3 linked regions of the Stegostoma tigrinum genome follow. The protein of the gene in region 1 interacts with the protein of each later gene in a pairwise test. Links are inferred from orthologs where the notes say so. Each region holds a gene or a part of one and is shown in the gene's direction. Other genes may lie near its edges.

Evidence for each region. The genes of interacting proteins can lie anywhere in the genome.
Region 2: the proteins of transcriptional regulator QRICH1-like (region 1) and hspb8 interact in binary tests that used the Homo sapiens proteins (3 or more experiments, as listed by UniProt). The two-hybrid records come from large-scale screens. The link is inferred for Stegostoma tigrinum from reciprocal best matches to the Homo sapiens genes QRICH1 and HSPB8.
Region 3: the proteins of transcriptional regulator QRICH1-like (region 1) and nfixb interact in binary tests that used the Homo sapiens proteins (3 or more experiments, as listed by UniProt). The two-hybrid records come from large-scale screens. The link is inferred for Stegostoma tigrinum from reciprocal best matches to the Homo sapiens genes QRICH1 and NFIX.

What each region holds. Positions count from the first base shown.
Region 1 is NC_081364.1:993,662-1,000,816, reverse strand, and holds the start of transcriptional regulator QRICH1-like, read left to right. Parts: upstream 1-4,117; 5' UTR 4,118-4,237; coding exon 4,238-4,240; intron 4,241-7,155. UniProt on the Homo sapiens protein: Transcriptional regulator that acts as a mediator of the integrated stress response (ISR) through transcriptional control of protein homeostasis under conditions of ER stress.
Region 2 is NC_081379.1:36,596,665-36,604,294, forward strand, and holds the start of hspb8 (heat shock protein beta-8), read left to right. Parts: upstream 1-4,529; 5' UTR 4,530-4,994; coding exon 4,995-5,403; intron 5,404-6,575; coding exon 6,576-6,639; intron 6,640-7,630. UniProt on the Homo sapiens protein: Involved in the chaperone-assisted selective autophagy (CASA), a crucial process for protein quality control, particularly in mechanical strained cells and tissues such as muscle. Displays temperature-dependent chaperone activity.
Region 3 is NC_081388.1:16,189,604-16,197,271, reverse strand, and holds the start of nfixb (nuclear factor I/Xb), read left to right. Parts: upstream 1-4,567; 5' UTR 4,568-4,689; coding exon 4,690-4,700; intron 4,701-4,949; coding exon 4,950-5,046; intron 5,047-7,668.

The sequences.
Region 1 (7,155 bases):
AATAAAGAAAAGAAAATCACCGTAAACGTTTCCTATTCGTGTACCCGTCCAAATCCCTTTAATGTTGTACCTGTACCTGCTTCTACCCTGTACGTGAAAAGGGTGCTCCTCTGGTCCCTTTTACCCCTTCCTTTGTCAGTTCATACCATACACGAACTACCCTGTACGTGAAAAGGGTGCTCCTCTGGTCCCTTTTACCCCTTCCTTTGTCAGTTCATACCATACACGAACTACCCTGTACGTGAAAAGGGTGCTCCTCTGGTCCCTTTTACCCCTTCCTTTGTCAGTTCATACCATACACGAACTACCCTGTACGTGAAAAGGGTGCTCCTCTGGTCCCTTTTACCCCTTCCTTTGTCAGTTCATACCATACACGAACTACCCTGTATGTGAAAAGGGTGCTCCTCTGGTCCCTTTTACCACTTCCTTTGTCAGTTCATACCATACACGAACTACCCTGTACGTGAAAAGGGTGCTCCTCTGGTCCCTTTTACCACTTCCTTTGTCAGTTCATACCATACACGAACTACCCTGTACGTGAAAAGGGTGCTCCTCTGGTCCCTTTTAAATCCTTCCTTTGTCAGTTCATACCATACACGAACTACCCTGTACGTGAAAAGGGTGCTCCTCTGGTCCCTTTTACCACTTCCTTTGTCAGTTCATACCATACACGAACTACCCTGTACTTGAAAAGGGTGCTCCTCTGGTCCCTTTTAAATCCTTCCCCCCTCACCTGAAACCTATGCACTCTAGTTTTGAACTCCCCTATCCTAGGGAAAAGACGTTTGCTATTCACCTTATCTATGCCCTTCATGATTTTATAAATCTCTTTAACTTTACCCCACAGCCTCTGATGCTCCAGGGGAAACAGATCCCAGCTTACCTAGCGTCTCCTTGTGACTCAAACCCTGCAATCCTGGCAATATTCTTGTAAATCTTGTCAATTTAGTAACGTCTTTCCTATAGCAGGATGACCAAACAGTACTCCAAAAATTCACATTACCAACGTCCTGTGTAACGTCAAAAATGACATTCCAGTGCTCTGACCAGTGAAGGTAACTATGCCAAATGCCTTCTTCACCACCCTGTCTACCCATGATGCCACTTTCAAGGAACTATGAACCTGCACCCCTAGGTCTATCGGCCAACTGGCCCAGTATATCAAGATCCCGTTGTATTCTTTGATAACCTTCTTCACTGTCTGCTGGTGTCATCCGCAAACTAATAACCAGGCTTCAATATACTTATTCCAATTGTTTATATGAATGACAAAGTAATGTGTGTTTGGATTTAAAGGGGATATAGTTCAGGTCTGCACATTATTAATTAATAATTCAATTTGCCACTTTCTTCTGGGGATTTGATGATGTGGTGGACTAGTGATCCTGAACGTCAGACTAATGTCCTGAGGTTTGGGTAAATTCCCATCGTAGCAGATGCTGAAATTGGAATTCTACAAAAATTTGGAATTAAAAGCCAACCTCTTGGCAACTGTGTAGCCACTATCTAATGTAAAATCCCAGTTTTTTTTTCATATCAAATGGCAGAGCAGTCTTGAAAGACTGAATTGCCTACTCCTGCTCCTCATTCTTATGTTCTCATAATTGATCATTTTTGTTTCTTGTTTATTGCTGAAACCTGGTGTGAGTTTTTTAAACCTTAGGTAGTGGTAAGGTCAACTAAAGTAATTAGTGATTCAGTTGGTCGTCTTTACATTTGAAATGACCATTGGGATGTTGGGGCTTGATTTGTGGCACATCTTGCCAACAGGATCATGACATTTGAGACAGAGTGGATAGACAGAAATTGTATCCACTTGTGAAAGGAATGAAAATAAGAAGGCACAGGTTTAATGTAACTGGTAAGAAAAGCAACATCACTATGACAAAAAACTTTTCACCCAACAAAAGGTTACGGTCTGCAGTGCAGAGTCTGGTTGAGTCGAGGTATTCTCAAGGGAATTAGATCATTATCTGAAAAGGAAGAATATGCAGGGTTATGAGAAGATGGTAGCAAAATGGCATTAATTGAATTGATCACTTGAAGACCAGTACAAATATCATTGGCTGAGTGGCCTTCATGTGTGCCATAACATACATCTGTGACTCGGTGAGAGATAAATAGCGGCCAGGACATTCGAATAGCTCCTATACTGTTCAGAAATTTCAGAACATACTGGTGGATTTTCCCCACTAGTTCCTTACTCATGCCATTTCTACAGCATAAATCTCAACTTTTTCAGACCCTTTTGGTTCTGAGAAAAGTTTCATTCTGGACTCAAAACACTACTTTTGTTTCTTTTTGCGCATATGCTGCTAGGTCCACTCATTTTATCAATTACATTTTGTTTCTATCTGTGAATTTTTGTAGGATTGTAAAATTTTACCTTATTGTTTCATGAGATGAAGGCAGTGCATGAGAAGCCAGCATTTGTTGCCATTTGTGAGCCCATAAGATGTAGGAATGGAAGTAGGATATTCTTGCCATTCAATCTGCTCTGCCATTGAATGAGATCATGGCTGATATGATTGTTCCCAACTCCACCTTCCTGCCTTTGCCCCATAGCCCTCAAAGTCTGAGGTTTTTAATCAGTAAGGTATTAAGAGTCTTAATAACCCAACCTCGACAACTCTGTGGTATAGAATTCCACAGATTCACTGCCCTGAGAAAAGAAATTCCTTATCTCTCTCTCTTAACTATGCCGTCTCATCTTTTAAAACGATGATGTCTTCCTAAGTCTCTCCCAGAGAGGAGAAAACAACCTTTCAACACTTCTGTGCTGGAAGGAGTCCCCTAAGAATCTTGTATGCCTCAATAAAGTCAGCTTTCATTTTTCTATATTCCAGTGAGTACAGGCCCAATATACTCAACTTCTCCTTATAAGGCAATTCACCCATACTTGCTATCACACTACTCTGGACTGTCTCTGATGCTGTTATGTATTTCCTTAGATAAGGGCTCAAAACTTCACAGTATTTAGCCGTGGTCTGACTAGTGCCTTGTACACTTTTAGCAAGACTCCCTAATTTTATTCTCAATTCCTTTTGAAATAAAGGCCAACATTCCCTAATACCAACCGAACTTGGATGGTAGCTTTTTCCCATGGACTGAGCAGGGGGAGGGGTTTGCTTGACCATTTCAGAGGGCAAGTAAGAGTCAGACACATGTTAAAGTTTTGGGTCCAATGACCCTTCCTCAGAAACAATGCATCAGTATGTTCTGAAATTTCTGAACATCATGGGAGCTATCTGAATGGCCTGGCCATTATTTAATCTGTCAATGAGTCACAGATATGTCATGGCACATATGAAGGCCATTCACCCAGTGATGTTTATTACCGGTCTTCAATTGATCAATTCAAATAATGCCATTTTGCTACCTTCTCCCCATAACACCAGTTCTGAGGAAGGGTCACTGGACCAGAAACGTTCATTTGCTGCCATGCCTGCTGAGCTCTTCCAGCAATTTCTGTTCTGTTTCCTGATTTACAACATCCGCAGCTCTTTCCTTTTGTTTAAGAGTTAAACAAATGACTGACATGAAAGGGAAGGGAAGGGAAACAAGGTGGAATTAGATGCAGACTGACAATGATTTGAATAAGGCAGGTGTGAGAGGCTCAACCCTCCAGCTGTTCCCACGACGACAAGATGCAGCACGACCCCTTTAAGGGACACTGGGTTCGCACTAGAATCTCGCGAGATTACTGTTGGTCTGCGGCTCTGATTGGTGGAGGCGGGAAAACAGCGCTGGTTGGTGGAGGCTGGAGGTTGGTGCTGATTGGCGGGTGCCTAGCGGCGGCTCTGATTGGCGGAGGCGGGCTGGCTGTAAGATGGCGGCTTAGTGAGACTCCGAAGGAGGAGGAAAAGCAAAAAGGAGCCCGGGCCTCGGTGGGGGAAGCCGAGCCGCGTGCCTTCACGTCAGGTCACCCGCCCGTCTGGCCGGCTGGTACCTCCAGCGCTGCCACCTGAGGTAAGCAAGGAACCGGGCGGCTGGGCCCCGCCAAGTGAGGGGGCGAAAGAAAGAAAGGCGCGTCCCCCCCCACCCCGTTCAGGTAGCGCGCGCTCCCGCGGGTGGTTAGGGCCGTGCTCGCACCCGAGGCAGTGCGCGCTGACGTCAGGTCCCCGGCCGCGGGATCTGGGTTCGGGCCGACACCGAGGATCGAGCGGGGGCAAGGCCGCAGGCGTCGGCGGGCTGCAGGGAAGCGGACAGGCAGGCTCCAGAACGAACCGGGCCCAGGATGGTGAGAGCGGGGGATGGGAGGGAGCTGGGTGAGGGCCCGGGGAGTGCTTGGCCATCGGCTCCGGCAGCACTCAGCCGCCGAGGCTCCAGTGGCCTGCACGCCAGTAAGGTACGTTTGTGTAGCGCCGAATCGTAGAGAGATAGACGCAGCCGTCAGGGATCACTGATATTTATTACCATTCGCGCTGATCCCGCTCCTCATATTCCTCTGTTCATTCACTGTCCAAACATGAGTCTACCCCAGGCTTAAATATAGTCAACAATCAAGCCTCCACAATCCTCTGGGTTAGAGAACCCCACAAAGATTTAGAATCCTCTCAGTGAACTGAGTTTTTCCTTAACATAAAGGTTCAGAGTTAAGCAATTCATCTTATCAAATCTGTGCTATTATTTCACGAGTTTATAGCTTATCCTCAACTCCCTTTTTTAGCCTTTTCCCCAATACCCTCGATTCCTTTACTGATTGCAAATCTGTAAATTTCAGCCTTGAAAATAATGACCCAACTTCAACAGCTGTCTACAGTACAGTTCCACAGATACACTACTTCCCAGAAGAAGAAAGTCCTCATTTCTAATTTAAGTGGATGGCCTTTTATTCTGAGATAACACCCTCACATTAAAGGAAAAACGCTCCCTTTCTATGCTGTAAGGATCCCTCAAAATCTCATGTTCTCAAATAGTATCCTGTTCTTCCTTTAAATTCCAATGAGTCCAGGTCTAACCTATTCAACCTTTTCCTCTTTGGCCTAATGGTATTATCAGTAGATAACTAATCCAGAAAATTAGTTAATTTCCTGGTTCAAATCCCGTCACAGCAGATGGTGAAATTTGAATTCAATAAAATATCTGGAATTTAGAATCTACAGTCTAATGATGGCCATGAAATCGTAAACCCATCTGGCTCAATAATATACTTTGGGGAAGGAAATCTGCCATCTTCATGTGACTCCAGACCCACAGCAGTGTGGTTGAATCTCATATGCCTTCTGAAACGGCCTAGCCAGTCACTCAGTTCAAGGACAGCTAAGGATGTTGCCCATGTCCCACAAATAAATTTTAAGAAAAAAACCCTCCATACCCAGAGCTGCCTATATGTCTACCCTTGGGTCACAGGACCAAAACAGTTGTGGTCTGACTAATGCCTTTCATGGTTAAAGTAAACAATAGAGTATTTTTAATATTCTATTCCCCTTGAATTAGAGGCCAAGAATCCATATTACCTGTCGAGCTTATGTGTTAGCATTTTGTGATTTACGCACAAGGAGCATCAGCACCCTTTAGGTTAGAGAACTTCAAAAATAAATGCTTATAGACAGTATGCTGAATAATGTTCAGCTTTTCTATTCTTCCAGTTGAAGTGCATAACATTTCCCCATATGATATTCCATCTGCCAATTTTTTTGACTAATTATTTAACCTGTCCTTATCTCTGCAACATTTTGTCTTTCCTTTTTTGTGTTGATCGTAAACTTGGCTCCAGTACATTCACTTCCCCCATCAAAGTCATTAATGTATATTGTAAATAATTGTGGCCCTATCTCAGATCCATGTGCTTCAGTGGTTACAAGTTGCTATCCTTAAACTGCATCCCCCCATATCCCAACTTCCTGCCTTCTATTACTTGATCGATCCTGTATCTGTGCTAATGTACTACCCCAACACCACAGGCTCTTGTCTTAATAAGTAGCCATGCATGTGTTACCTTATCAGACACATTTGAAAATACAAATATATTATATTTACGTGTTCTCCTCTTATGTATCCTGTTTAAAGAAGTTGAATAAATGTGTCAGATGTGATATCCCCTTTGTGAAGCCTTGCAGACTGTGCTTGAACATATTTATTACCAAATGTTCTGTTATTACATTTTTTTAATAGACGCTCACATCTTCCCAATGATAGGTGTTGAGCTCTGATGGAGAATCATCTAGACTCAACATTAATTTTCTCTCTGCCTGGATGCTGCCTGACCCGCTATGATCTGCAGCATTTTTTGTTTTCAGCATAGATTCCAGCATCTGCAGTAATTTCTCCTGGATGTTAAGCTAATTGGCCTGTAGTTGTCTTTTTTGTTTTGCTGTCTCCCTTTTTGTACAAGGCTATTACATTGATAGTTTTCCATTCCTCTCGGACTTGTATAACCTATTGGAATTCTTGGAAGACTACTACCTTTAACCTAGAATGCATCCCATCAAGTCCAGGGGATTTAACTGCCTTTAGACTCATTGCTTTACCTAGTACTTTTTCTCTAGTGATTTATTTCCCCTGCACCCCTGATATTGTCCATTGATCATTTAGTATTTTTGGAATGCTGTTAGTGCTTTCTATCTTGAAGACTAATGTGGAATATTTTCTCAGTTTGTCTACTGTTTCCTTGATATTACTTTATAGTTTGCTCTCAATATTGCTTTTTCTTCTCTTTACCAATACTCTGGCTTACCACAAAAACATTGTGTTTTTTTCAATTTGGATTTGATACTGTCCTTAATACCATGGTCGATTTATCCCCTTCCTCACTGGGATGTACCTCTGCTGGTGAGTTGTGAATTATTTTGCTAAATGTCTGCCATTGTTTCTCAACCGTCTTTGTAGCTAATCTCCTTTCCCAGCCCACTCTAGACAACACAGTGCCCATTTATTTGAAATTACTCATAATTAAGTATGACAGTGTTGTTTCTGACCCAATTTTTGTCTCTCATTCCGAGTGCTGAATTCTACCATGTTATGGACATTGATCCTGGGGATCCTTTACTCTGAGATTATTTATACAGCCTGCCTCATTGCACATTACTGGGTTGAAAATAGCCTGATCCCTGGTTAGGTTTATAGAAACACAGAAGATAGGAGCAGGGACGAGGCCATTCAGCCCTTTGAGCCTGCTCCTCCGTTCTTCACAATCATGGCTGATCATCCAAC
Region 2 (7,630 bases), on another chromosome or scaffold:
GTAAACTGTGACTGAGATCAGTGCTGGGCCTCCAATTGTTCACAATCCATATGAAGTACATTATATTTTTGGACAATATTTTCACATGATAATGCAGAACCAGGTGGAAATGAGGGTTGTAATAAGAATGTAAAGAAGCTACAGGGGAATTTAGACAGGTCAGTGAGAGGACAAGACAATACGTGGAAAAATCTGAAATGGTGCACTTTGATAAGAAAAACAGAAATGCAGAAATATTCTTAAGATGTGAGATATTGGGAATTGTTAATATACTCAGTCCGAATTGTGATAAAAGGCGTATGATATATGTTAGCATCATTTGTGGCTTGGATTTTAAAATGGAGGCAAATTTGGTCAGTCCTGTAAAGGTGGTTTTGTTAGAAAGGTTAGAAAGTCATTTGGAACATGAACCAAATGCATCATTTCTAAGTAAGCAAGTGACTTCAGTCAAGTGCCTGGCAGGGCACTTGTGGTGTTACTGTATGGAATGTTTATAATGCAGAGTTCACAAATAGACCAGAGGCCATTCATTTCACTTTTGATTTCTGTTCTGTTCAGAAGGGAGAACAATTTTCTTGCTGCAGGAGAATCAAGTTTTTCAATTCAGTTCAGGGGAGCCAGTCAACCTGAGGAAATGGTTTTTACTTTGTGGATCTTCCAAGCTGGGAGAGCTTGTTTAGAGGCCTTCAAGTTGTTAGAACTGAAACAGTCAGGCCATACGAATTGTGCAAGGTTTATGCCAACAGACTCAGAAAAAAATGGTCGAACATGTCCCAGCAGTCCAAAGAAAAGGATCTGAGAAGTTAGATTCTGTCATTAGATAACATCTGCGTGTTTGTGATCATACTTTCATGACCAACTACCATAGTAACCAACAGCAAAAATCATACACATGATCTATCAAGCCACAGTTCATTCTGATTTCTGGCTTGTCCTACATTACCATCAGCTGGGATCATAACAGAAATCACCAAAAGCTATTGTTCAGGTACAGAGAGTAATTAGAAAAGCAAATGGTATGATACCTTTTACAGCAAAAGAAATTTACTGCAGGAGGAATGATGTTTTGCTGCAACTATATAGGGCCTTAGTGAGAATGTACCTGGAGGATTGTGCACAATTTTGATCTTCTTCACGAAGAAATCTTACTTCCCTCTGAGGGAGTGGAATACTCATGAGACTGATCCCCTGAAGTGACTGAACGGTCTTATAAGAGATTGAGGAATTTGAGCCAAGGATCCCTTTAGTTAAGAAGAATGAGAGGTGATTTCATTAAGGCATACAAAATTGTCACTGAGGGTGATATGCAGGATGGATGGCTCCCATGGCTTGGTGTACAGAACTAAAAGGAGAGGCAAGTTATTTAGTACTGTGATTAGGAGGAATTTCTTAACTCAGAAGCTGATGAATCTTTGGAGTGATCTACCCCAAAGAGCTGTGTGGAGGCTCATTATTGAGTATATGCAAAATGGAGGTCAATAGATTTCTAGATATTAACAATATCAAGGGATATAGGGGAAATGCAGGAAAATAGCATTGAGGTAGATCAGCCATGATGGAGCAGGCTTGAGGGGCCAAATGATCTACTTCTGCTCCTATTTTCTATATTGCTACAACTCCTCCAATGCAGTCCTATGACAGTTATGAAGACGGAGAGGTGGCTGCCCTGTTGTCTTCATGTTGTAAGGCTGTAAGATTCATGAACAGGGTTAACAATGGAACCCAAGCCAATGTAAACATTTAAGAATGGGTTAAGTAGGCATGTCAAGAGGATTAAAGAAATATATGAGCATTAGCCATTTCAAAAGAAATAGGGAGAGAGGTAAAAGACATGGGGGGCTGCATTGCTAATCAGGGATGGTATCACAGCTGCAAAAAGACAGGTAATTGAGGAGGGGTTGTCTACTGAGTCAGTATGGGTGTAAGTCAGAAACTGGAAAAGAGCGGTCATTTTTTGGGAGTTTTCCATAGACCCCCCAATAAAACAGAGGCATGGAGGAACAGATTGGGAGGCAGATTTTGGAAAGGTGCAGAAGTAATGGGGTTGTTGTCATGGATAACTTCAACTTCCCTAATATCGACTGGATCCTCTTAAGTGCAAATAGTTTAGATGGAGCAGATTTTGTCAGGTGTGTCCAGGAAGGATTTCTGACCCTATATGTAGATAGGCCAACTATAGGGGAGGCCATGTTGGATTTGGTGCTTTGTAATGAACCAGGCCAAGTGTCAGATCTCTCTGTGGGAGAGCATTTTGGTGACAGTGATCACAACTCCCTGACTTAACTATAATCATGGAGAGGGATAGGAGCAGACGGTATGTGAAAGTATTTAATTGGTGGAGTGGGAATTACAATGCGCTTAGGCAAGAACTGCGGAGCATAAATTGGGAACAGATATTCTCAGGGAACTGCATGACAGAAGTGGGGAGGTTGTTTAGGGAGCACTTGTTACAAGTTCTGGATAGGTTTGGCCCACTGAGGCAAGGAGGGGATGGTAAGGTGAAGGAACCTTGGATGACAAGACATTTGGAGCATCTAGTCAAGAGGAAGAAGGAAGCTTACTTAAGGTTGAGGAAGCTACGATCGGACAGGGCTCTAGAGGGCTACAAGGTAGCCAGGAAGGAACTGCAGAATGGACTTAGGAGAGCTACAAGGGGGTCTGAAAAAGCCGTGGCAAGTAGGTTTAAGGAAAACCCCAAGACATTCTATACTTAAGTGAAGAACAAGAGGGAGGTAAAAGAGATGGGGGACTGGCATTGTTAATCAGGGATGGTATCACAGCTTCAGAAAGGGAGGTCGTTGAGGAGGGTTTGTCAGACAATTTTTGGCAATGTTTGACATGTTTGTCAGAAGGTCAGAGTGAGGGTAGGGCCGATCAGGGATAGTGGAGGGAACTTGTGTGCAGAGTTGGAGGAGGTAAGGGAGGTCCTTAATGAATACTTTGCTTCAGTATTCACCAGTGAGAGGGACCTTGACATGTGTGAGGACGGCATGAAACAGGTTGATATGCTCAAGCAAGTTGATGTTAAGAAGGAGGATGTGCTAGAAATTTTGAAAAACATGAGGATAGGTAAGTCCCCTGTGCCAGATGGGATATACCCAAGGTTGCTACAGGAAGCGAGGGAAGATATTACTGCACCTTTGCACCTTTGGTGATGATCTTTGCATCCCCATTGTCCACTGGAGTAGTACCAGATGGTTGGAGGGTGGCAAATATTATTCCTTTGTTCAAGAAAGGGAATAGGGATAATCCTAGGAATTGCAATCAGTCTACAGTGTGGGCAAATTATTGGACAGGATTCTGAGAAATAGTATTTATGTTTATTTGGAAAAGCATAGTTTGATTGGAAATAGTAAGCATGGCTTTGTGAGAGGCAGGTCATGCCTCACAAGCCTTGTTGAATTCTTTGAGGATGTGACAAAACACATTGATGAAGATCAAGCAGTGGATGTGGTGTATATGGATTTTAGCAAGGCATTTCATAAGGTTCCCCATGGTAGGCTCATTCAGAAAGTAAGGAGGCATGGGATACAGGGAAATTTGGCTGTCTGGATACAGAGTTGGCTGTCCAATAGAAGATAGAGCACAGTAGTAGATGGAAAGTATTCAGCCTGGAGCTCGGTGACAAGTGATGTTCCACAGGGGCCTGTTCTGGGACCTCTGCTCTTTGTGATCCTTATAAATAACTTGGACAAGGAGGTGGAAGGGTGGGTTAGTAAGTTTGCCGATGACACAAAAGTTGGTGGAGTCGCGGATAGCACGGAGGGCTGTTGTACGTTGCAATGGGATGTTGTCAAGATGTAGAGCTGGGCAAAGAAGTGGCAGACGGAATTCAACTCAGAGAAGTGTGAAGTGATTCATTTTGGAAGGTTGAATTTGAATGCAGAATACAAGGTTTAATGGCAGTGGTGGGCGTGTGGAATGTGCTGCCAGCAGTGGTAGTGAAGTTACATACGTTAGGGATATTCAAACAATATGACATGGATGATAGTAAAATGTAGGGTATGCAGAGTAGTTTGATCTTAGAGTAGGGTAATAGGTCAGCACAACATCATGGACCGAAGGGCCTGTACTGTGCTGTACTATGTTCTATATTGCATCAGGGTTAATCCATTTGGATGGTCAACACCTGAATAACTTGTTACAGTTTCCTTTTATTAACATTCCTCCATTGGCCATCATACAGAAGACATGAAATCACTACTTCCTGGAGGCAAAGAAAATCTGTGGAGCCACAGAACAAAGCATGCTTTTGAAAGTCATCCCCACCCCCCCCCCCCCCCCCCCCACCGTATGTGAAGTGCTGTGAGACATTTCTGAGCAATTGATGAAACATGAGTGAATGCGAATCTCCGGCCCTTGCTCATTTTTTGTCCACAGAAAAGCAGGACCAGTTCTGGATTGAGATAATTGGTGACCCTAGAGACGGGCTTTCCTTGTGATCTAATCGTCGACCTGTGAGCATTGAGCAAGGTTGGGAACGTTTGCTGTCATCTCTTGCTCGTCTGTCGCCTTGTACTTTTCTGGGAGTTTGAACAGAAAGGGCGCAGCTCCCTAACTCTGGAGTGGAGCGGCAGATACGTCGTTGCACAACTTTATATGAACTCACTCCTTAAGGTTCCCAGGCACCTTGAGAAATATTGAGGGGAATGGAGACGGGTGTAATGTTTATGAATCAGTTACATAGCCAGGCAGCCAGCACTCGGGGCTAGTAAACAAGGATGACTCGGAGTTGCTTTAAATAGGCTGTGAGGAGGCAGGACTGAACTCCTCTGCTACTCGGGCTATGGCTAAACTTGGTCAGCTCACGTAAGAGGGGCCTGATCCTCTCTAGGGGCACGTCAGATTCCTTTCAATTGCTCATAGATCAGATTAAACAGATGACAACTGGCGATCGCCTCAGCTCCAGCAAACAAGAAGAAGTATAAAGCCCGGGGCGCACGACAGGGAGAGGGTCAGAGGAGACTTTCTGGAGGGTCTAGGCAGAAGCAGCGATGGCTGAGAGTCAGGTCCCATTTTCCTGCCAGATGCCTGGGAGACACAGGAGTAGCAGGGACCCTTTCCGAGAGCCGGCCTTATCTTCTCGCTTCCTGGACGATGAGTTCGGCATGCCAACTTTTTCCGAGCACTTCACGGCCGACTGGCCGGACTGGGCGAGACCCAGGCTCACCTCCACTTGGCCGGGGCCCCTGAGATCTTCCTTTAACGGGGCGGCTCGGGACTCTGCGGGTATCTACGGTCCGGCGCCTCCTCATTACACGGCTCGTTACACCGGCTACCCCGAGGCCAAGAACCCGCCCAGCATCAACCCGGGGGAACCCTGGAAGGTGTGCGTTAACGTGAAGAGCTTCGCCCCCGAGGAGCTGACCATCAAAACCAAAGATGGGTTCGTGGAGATCTCAGGTAGGCCGGGGTGGCGGGGGGGGGGGGGTGGAATAGCGGGTGCTGAGGGAATTTTGTACCGAAGGTCGCAGAGAGCTGAGTGAAGGTCAGTCAGAGGGACAGTTCTGTCTTGTGTAGGGGCCCTCTCACCCCTCAAACCACTTCACTTAAGGAGGCGAGGGTGCATCAGAGCCTATAGAGTGAGGAGGAAGGGGGTGCGATATAAATAAAAATAAATCAACTATAATTCCATCATTTCTCACCTCTGCAAAAAAAAACTTGTCGAGTCTTGTTATGCAAATCATGGGGGAGAACCGAGAATGTTGGACAAACAAATTTCAGATTCAAATTCCAATCGTAGATTTCTATCAGTTTGTCGAGTGTACGGGGCTCTGAAATAGATCGAAATATATCCGTTGAAATTATTTAATACCTCGCCTCTCCACCAAGACTTACTGAGTCCTGTCATTATAAAACGTGGTGCGGGGAGGAAGCGGGGGGTTGGTATTGTTGGACAAATTCATAGTATCAAAGACTCAAATTCGAATCATAGATTTTTTGATTCCCTGAGTTGATCCAACGTTTGGTGTGTGCGTGTGTGTGAGACCCACTCTCATGTTTTGTGTAACAGGACAGCATGTTTTATTGAAGTTAATTCCATGGTCTCAACATGTACGAAATTGTCCAAAAGGATTTTGTTTTTCTCACTGGGGTATTTTGGGTTTTGAATAAATTTAAACCAGGAGACTAGACCATGTTAAAATAGCCGTTTTTGATGCTGATGCGGACTGTTCTATAGTTGTTTTGCGGAAAACACAGGATTATGGTGATTTCAGGTGAAAATTACTAATGTAATTGCTTTTAAGAGATGTGCGTATTGCTAATAGAAGTCCACACTGAAAAAGTGGCTGATGGTTTCGAAGCTGAATTATTTGGATTGAGGTATGAATCCTGTTCCAGGATTCAGGGACTACAGATAAGCAACAGTTTTAGACCTTAAGAGACATTACAAAGACTATGTAGGAGAGACACAGTTCGCTAATTGACAATACAGTCCACTGCGAATGAACAAGACGCTGGCAAATCTGAAATTCTCGATCTTGAACAAGTTCCTGTCTGAGGCAAATCAAATGTAAGATATTGTGCCGTTTGATTTTTTTTTCCCCTGACCTTTCCCCTTTGCATCGTTCTAGGAAAACACGAAGAAAAACAAGAAGAAGGAGGAATCGTTTCGAAAAACTTCACCAAAAAAATCCAGTAAGTAGTAGAAGGGATAGACTAACAGAAGGGGAAATGTATGCGAATGTTAAAAGAAGCTGTTTAATTAGCTCGGGGAAGTGTTCGTAGCTTTCATATTTTTTGAAGTACGCAACTTTAATGTTCACTCGTGGGTCTTACGGTATAAAACTTGGCGATGCCAAGAAACAGAGCTCATAAACTTGTGGGGGATTCCTTGCTTGCTGGAGGAAAGGCGAACTCCTTATTTGGTGATAGAATCGCTCTGACTTTAACAATAGGTTTTCACGGTGCCCCACAGCGGAACGGAAACCAGACTCTCGAGTTTGTGTCAAAACTGGACGATCATGCAGTTTTTTTGCACTCGCCCCTTCCCCATCTGTTTGACTGCCGTTGTCAAAGTGCTGCTGGGGGACCGAGGGTGCTAGTCAGGGGGCTTAAAGATCGCTGTCTAGTCCCCAGCTCCTCTTCTGGTCGACAATGCTAATGATTCCCGCATCCATCTTGGCACTTAAGGCTGGGCTGAAATTTTATTTGATGGTACGTAATTCAACTATTCACTACTTCAGATGGAAACGTTATCCAGTTTATTGTAAAGATACTGATGCCTTTGGTAAAATGGCAACAGAGCTAATGTGAACACAAAAAAATGCAGTTACTTTACATGGTAAAGCTTTTGAGTCAAAGGTAAAAGTACAGTGCTACTCGACCGTGGGGCGGATCTATACCCTTAGAGAAAGAAAGACAAGTAGTGGTCGTTTAACCTGAGAGTCACTACGACCTAAGCGAGGGGACAAATTGAGAAGGAGAATCTTCACGGTAAGATCAGCTGGTTCAGAAATGATGCTGATTCCGTCACTCTGCATTGCAAAATAGCTGGCCTGACAATCCAGCTGACCAATCGCCAAAGTTTAAGATAATGAGGTAACGAAATAAAAACGAGAATTGCTGGAGACAACTGAGATGTTGGGCACAATTTTATGACTGCAAGTGGATGGGTTTTCATTGAGTT
Region 3 (7,668 bases), on another chromosome or scaffold:
GTTGGCTGGACAACGGTAGTGGCTGGAGAAATGAAGCAATCGTGGAAAAGAGCTTTACTCGGTTCCTCACACTTCTGGAGGTCCTGTATTAATCGTCGTTAACATTCATTTTTAACAATTTTTGGAAAGCGAGTGTGTGCTTACTTGAGAAAACTAAGAATATGCTCCAAATTGTGGTCATATTCGATTTTATACTGTTGAAAATAGTGAAACAAAACAGACTTATTTCAAATTACGTTGATGCAAATACTTTATTGTTAGATCGACTGAGATGAAAAAATCTGCAAGCACCTAGAAACCACAGGATTACAGGGTTAAAATATTTTCTAATCAAACTAAAGCGTTAATGCAGAAAGGTTATTATTACAAGTGAACCCCGTGTACTACATTCAAAACAAAGCCTCGAAGCAGTGAGTTTTTTAAAAAAGTTAAATAATAATTATGTAGTGAATAAAAACGAGGTTAAACATGATCTCAAATATTCATGAAAACACATTTGCAGAACATTTTGTAAGAACAAAATCGCATAATTCATGAATTAAAAAGGTCTTTTAACGCATTTAAATACAGCATCAAACAGTTTGTAACCAAACTCCAGTACATTGAGTTAAGGAGTATCAAACAGATCGGCATTTTAATTCTAAACCCACGTAGAATGCAGATTTTCTTTATTAATGCGTAAAATTAATATTAGCTACTGATATCACGGACACAGCTTTTAGAAAATAAAAACAGCCCAAAATCAATTTCTTCCGACAATTCAGTTTCCAATTTAAAAAGTGGAATTTAGAAATCAATGTAAAATGTACTTGGCACCACAATTTGAAATGTTTCTTTTTCGAATTCCGTGTTAGAGTTTGCACAGGAACACTGAGATTTAGATTGATTTGATAGTAATCAATAAGTTGTACAAATAGTGAGGAGTTCAACAAGTTAAAAGCAGTTTAATTATCATACAAATTGGAATAAAGAAGCAATTTAGAGTTTTAGAAATCTCGTGATAGCAGAATAGTTCGGATAGTCTTTGGCTCATTTCATTGCAGCCTTCTTGAATATACACAATGTGTGTGTATACCTGTGGGTGTGTATGTTCATCTATATGTGTGTATCTGCGCGTCTGTATGGCGTGTGTGCATGTCTGTGTATGTATGTTTCCGTGTGAGTATCTGTGTGTTTGTGTCTTTGCATCTCTGTGAGTATCTGTGTTGTGTGTGTGTGTATGTGTGCCTATCTGTGTCTGAGTATGTGTGTATCTCTGTGCGTGCACACATTTTTTGTGTTTCTGTTCGTGTGTTTTTGTGTCTTTGTTTTTCTGTTTGTGTATTTCTGTTCCTTTGAGTATGGAATTTGTTTGAGTATGGAATTAGTATAACGGCGGGTAAAGTGAAATACAAACGCTTAACAAAATTAGCATTTCAATACATTTTTAAAATGCTTTAACCTAAATTTGGAATCTGTTTCGGATCCCTACATTGTTCGAGCTCTAATTCTGTTGCGTAGTAAAGTTCATATGAATAAATTATTACTAATAAGCAAAACGAAAATTGCAAATGCTGCATTTAATTAAATTGAAGACGTGTCTAGGCAATTTAACGAGCTATCAGCTGGGTAGATTTGATGTAGAGAGAGAATCAGCTGTGAAAGTACCTGAACTAAATACTTCGGGAAGCGTTTCAATTATAACATGTTTTATTATTGAAAGATGCGGAGTTCGAAATTGGACATTCACCCAAACGAAAGATGTACCTGTATGTCAGCCTGTCCAGAGCGTTTTGTAACATTGTCTCAAATCAGTTTTGAGCGCCGTGCATAACTGAAACAATGGAAGTTTGGATAGTCTATCTTGGCTTTCTCACCAACACCATCTCACCACAATTTTTTCACCACTACCACTTTCCCGTCCATCTCCAAACGCCTTCGCCCAAAACCCTGCCAGGCGCTTTCCAAAAAGATTCTTTCCGACAGTTCCTTACAAGCAGAGGAAACAGAACTCGGGGGAAAAAATATGACTTGAAGCAAAAATTTAAATAAAAATCCACGCCGGCACAAGATTATTTGATGGCGAGATTGGAAGCCAGTTGCGAAGTCTACAAAATGAATCCATGACCATTTCTTTATCTGCAATTGATTGCCTGCAGCGATTGAAAACTTGTGTGGAGCTGAAAGGGTTAAAGGGTTTGAAACTTGTGCGGAAGCTGTTGACTCCTTATCACAACCCCTGCACGTTATTCCTTAAATTATCGATCCGGGATCTAGTGTCGTGAATTTCCACTTCGTTCAGTCAAAGGTAGTAATTTCCCCTTGTATAGGAGCCGTTTTGCAGTGGGTCAGTATCGCACCGGCTGTTCTGTCTTGCAGTCTCACTGAAAACTTTGTCTCTCCCTGTTTATACACCTTGCTGCGATTTTTAATTTGTCGTGATTACAGGATATAGGTACCCATCAAATGTAATTGAATTTATTCTCTTCTACTTTATGAAAAATGCCTAGCGAGAGTTCGAGGCAAAAGTTACATTCAGTCAATAAGGGAAGCCATTTGAAAACTAGATTTTTTTTCTCTTTCTCCCTCTCACTAAGGTGCATGGAATGGGGGTGGGGGATGGCAGAGTGTAGGGGGTAGTCTGTTTCACTCGAGAGAATTATATGGAGATGGTCACGCTTTCAAAACCTACCCCCCAATACAACCTAACCGACAATACAGTGATTCCTGAGGTAAACCCCAAAAGTGCAGAGATCTCAGACAATATTTCTACCAGCGCGTAGTAAAAAAAAAGCAAAAATACCAGCTCGTGATTCTTCGTGGGCGTTTCATTTTTCAAAAAAAAACAAAATGTTTTCTTATCTGTTAAAACGCCGTTGTTATTTTATCTTGAAAGAAACGGCAGTCGCCTCTTTCTTCACCTCTATTAATTAGCAGGACGTAATTACTAATGTGATTTGACTGCGTTATTGCTGTTGTTTTATCTGAGGTGAAATACTGGCCAGTGAATCCCATTTATGGAACACTCTTGGTGTTTCTGTGTCTTCGCCCCTTTTACTTCGAACCGATTTATTTGCCTTTGTACCAGCGGCGCTCGGGCGTATTCGGGGAACGCTGCAGCGCCGATAGAATCGTCATTTTCACACATGCTTGTCAGATATATTCCCAGATGTTGCAGTTTCCCTCTTCCTACACAGTCCTCATTTGCCCTGTCTGCAGACCTCGCTGTATATTTGGACGCAATCGGGTTGGGCTGAAGGAGAAATTAGTGGATACCTATTGTAATGCACCGGGACACAGAAGTTGTGGAAGGCTGCAACTTTGAGGAATTAAATCCCATTGCAGAAATCGCACCGGGCCCATTTCGGTGATACTCCTTGAATAAATTCTATTGGGAGACAATTTGCAGCCAGCCTAATTCCGAATGTGTATCACTAAAAAAAACACAGCTGTTTACAGTAACAGTAAACTCTTGAGTTTTAACAAGCGCTAAAAACAGATTTGTTTTAGCAGGGGCGTTCTTTTTTTTCTAACATTTGCAATTAGTTAAAAGCCAGACATTTCGAAGTTCCAGGTTACTTGTGGAAGTTCAAATGCTACCCACAACAGAAACATCACTCGACAATTTGTTTTGAAAGCCAGGAGAGGGTAGTGAAGGAGGTTTGGGATGAACTGCAAGCATAATATCCAACAATTGCTGAGGCTGTAGTGTTAAACTGAAGTCAACCCGGAAAGTTCAGGGCTCTTACTTTAAATCGATTTATTTTGAAGTCCGCTATTGGTTTTATGCGCGCGCACACACACACGTAGACAAACTGGTTTCACTCAATCATTCTACGAGGAAAAATTGGAACTAATTTACACCTCTCCTCCCTTCTAGAGGACTGACACTACTAACTTTGTAATTGGGTGGTGGTCATAGCGGCGGGGGTGTACTTTTAGAGAAACGTTTTAAGTTTTGGAAATCGATTCCTACTGCTGGAAATAACATATTTGAGTTGGATAGTCTGGTATCTATGAGGCTCAAGTTGTTCCGTAACGTTCGCTGCTAACAAGTTGCCCTTCCATTGTCTCCTGCAACACTTCGCGCCGACCGTTTTCTCTCCCTCTACTTGAAAAAGAAACAGCTCGTCATTTAGCAAATGTGTCGGCGCTTTTTGCAAATTAAAAATATCTACACACTTCAATTACTTTTACGCACTGTTTGCGAAAATTCTCCTGTTTTAGTTTTTTTTCCTGTTTAAATTAACACCCCCCCCCCCCGCCCGTCATCACGATGTCCCGTCGCTGGTTCTACTCGGAGATCGTATGAGACTGAATGTACTCGCACTTATTGTCAGTAACTTTCCCTCTGCGCCGATGCCTCTTTAAAACAAGCCCCAGTTCATGGCTCTTCACTCTGTAATTCTGCTCAAAAACACACACACAGGGACACACACAGACACAGCAGCTGCTCTCCCAGCGCTTACAGGCCAGATGCAAAACAAAACACACACACACACACACATACAAAAAGTTATTAAACAAATCACGGCTCAACTCCGAGATCTGAGCGGTTAGTTAGTTAGTTAGTGATGGAAGTGGGACTTATCGGCTCTCTCTCAAAAGCCTCTCACTCTCTCCTCTGCAGTATTTGGAGAGATTTCTGTTCTCAGCACTCAGACTGCTCTTCCTGACAATTCTCTGAGGCGGGAAGGCCGCGCAATCACAATGCTGCAGAGGTTAGAATAACTTTTTCTATAAAGAAAAAAATAAAGTTTCACCGAAGCCGCGAAGGAAAAGGTATAACTTTAACCTGGGAAAACCGATCCCGGTAAAGTCTAAACAGAAAGGAAAATACAGTGAAATGCATAGAGAAAAGGAAAACCTTTATGTGTCGGACTATTCGAAGGCAACTTTTGACTGAAATAATCTTTCTTTCTCTTTCTCAATCGCTCACTCGATGGTTTGGGACCGGCGCACTTTATTAGACATGGACTTGCCTCTCGGACTAGGGAGTTTCCTGGATCTGCGGCTTGCAGTGGAAGTGATACAGTGATTTCTGGCAAATTTCCCCACACCACAATGGTACGTGTTGTGTGAATCGGGAATTCTCTTTCTCTCTTTCAATACTTTCTGAGCAGACATTTTTTGAAAGAATAACAAAAGTGCGATAGAAAGTGGAATTGTAAGCTCAGTTCAATACGCAGGCTAACATCTGAAACGTTTAAAGCAAGCACAAGCGTTATATTTACGAGGTTTTGAATTTTGGGTGTTGAGAAAGGATTTTTTTCCCGCTGTCTGGTTCCTTAAACCTCGTGAAAGAGGAAGAGAAAGTGGCGGTGATGGTCGTGTGAATGCGTGTGTTTTTTTTGACCTGGGGTTTCTAATTTGTTGTTAAACCCCTGCCTTTATTCTATCTGCTATAGTGTGAAATACTGCATATTCTTCTGAACCAGGCTAATTCTCTTAACCGCGACCCACAATTTTAGGTGCATTTTGAGTACCTTTTCCCCTGTGATTTGCAAATATTGGCGTGTAAATATTGCAGGAATTCGCCTTCCTATCACTTTTAAACTGACCTTTTTGTGGAAAATAGCAAAATTCTGGGTTGATAACGATTGAGAATGTCTTAAGATTCGGCCTATGTGTTAATACTTCAGTCCTTATTTCTCCAAACCCGAGAATGTGAATGAACCTCCCTTTAATCTCCATCAGCAGACCATATAGAGCTATTTCACAAACAGACCGTGGGTTCCTGTTGTGAGATTAATTTAGGTCAGTTTCATTCTATAGTAAATCAGATGACATGAGCAATTTTTGAGCAATTTATCCGGATTTTTCTTTGTAATGTCCCGTATCTATTTTAAAGTGTGCCTTTCTTTGCGCCTGTCGCTCGTGCACAATATTCTGTAATCACTAGAGCAGCCTCGTTTATTAGCAGCCTGCCTGTGTGGTGCGTTTTCTTTTGTATATTTCACTTCGAGTGACCCGTGTGACTATCTGGGTAAGAGTAATTCGCTTTGTTGCATCCGGACTTTTAGCGATAGGTGGAAAGGTGCGCAAGTCTGGTCAGCTGTGTATTTTTGCAAGAACTGTTTTCTCACGGGGGTGGGGGGGCGGGGTGTGGGGTGGGGCTGGGGTGTGTAGAAATTGCCCAGAAAAGTTTGACAGTTTGTGGTTCTGTCAGAGAGGGGAGGTATATATTAAAAAAAACAAATATAATCCACTAGCCGTAAAACACTCAAATTAAAAATTCTAGCCTGAAACTTCTACAATCAGTTTCCTAATCGATTAGTACCTGAAGCAATTTCACCGAGGTCGCATTGTTATGCCGGCAGCATTAATTGGAAAAGAAGGACAAAAATAAAATACAACTGAGGCAGTCTTGCAGGCCTTTGTGACTGAGTTTGACACAGAGTAGCCTGATAAGCCATTTTGTAAAGATCTGCCTTGGTTGTAGCTGGTGTGTGTGATTTATAGACTGTAATTTACCCGTTAATTCGTTTTACATTTGTTTACTGATTCCGATCGTTGGCAATTTAGCGTTTTATTTTACCCCTACTTGTCTCTTAGTGTAAACAGTCAATTGTTTTGAACTGTGGAGAAATATAACAAAAGCTTTTTAATTTTTTTGCCCTCTCAGTAATCCAAACAGGAACGCACACTTTCTGATGGAGATTTCAATCAGTTGCAGGCCTGCAGTTTAAGTGTGGCTGGCAGATCAAAAGAGAGGGCTGCGTGATTGGCGAGGTGGCACATTGTGCGAATGCTTTCTGTAGCTTTACGCCGCGAATAATTGAAGTTTCGCCGACGTTAAATAGTTGTTTCTATTTGTAAATCAGCTGCCTGGAATGAGCCGCTTCTCCTTCTAACCCACCAGTCGAACTGAAGGGCTGCAATTCAGACGCAAGCGCTCTAGTGTAACTGTTTTGGGGAAGAATTCACAAAAAACGGAGGCCGGGTTAACCTGTAGAAGGTGGTTGACCCCATCCCAGCCTCTCCTGTTCGCAGGGGAAAGGGCAGGACGACGAAAGAACATGTTGTGCAGCGTACAATTCCAGTATTACAGAAGTTTATATTGTACCGAGTGCTTAGTAAAACCAAGGGAGCAGGAACAGTTGGGTCATTTTGCAGAAGGAAATTATTTAATTCTATTTAATGAATTTACAGATAACTTGTAAGTCAAAAAGGGAGGGTTGGGGTTGTGATGGAGGGAAGAGATTGTTTAAATATCCCCACTGATTAACTTGGTGAAAATTGATTTATTTCTGCAGTTTTAATACGTGGGAGGTAGATTTGAATCGTGCATACTTGCTGAAACTCATACACAGCGTGGTGCATTACAGATGACAGATATGGCTCATTGTTAACTGACTAATTCCGTTGCTGTCATAGATTTCATACCACAACAGCAATATCACTGGCTCATTTATTTCAGTGTTGAATTACTGGACAGAGCAGTTTAAAATTAAATTGAAAGAAATTGATATTCCAATTTTGGATTTTTTGCAGCAAGAGCTGACTGGTATGGAGAATTTTAGTTGGAGTTCTGTGGCAATAGTATTTTTTTCATTTTTTGTTCCTACATTTGAGAAGATGGTGTTGATGAAGAGATTTGATAAGGTGTTCAAAATCGTGAATGGTCTAGATAGAGTGCAAAAAGAATAACTGTTTCAATTGGGGAAGGTCAGGATCAGAGGACACCAG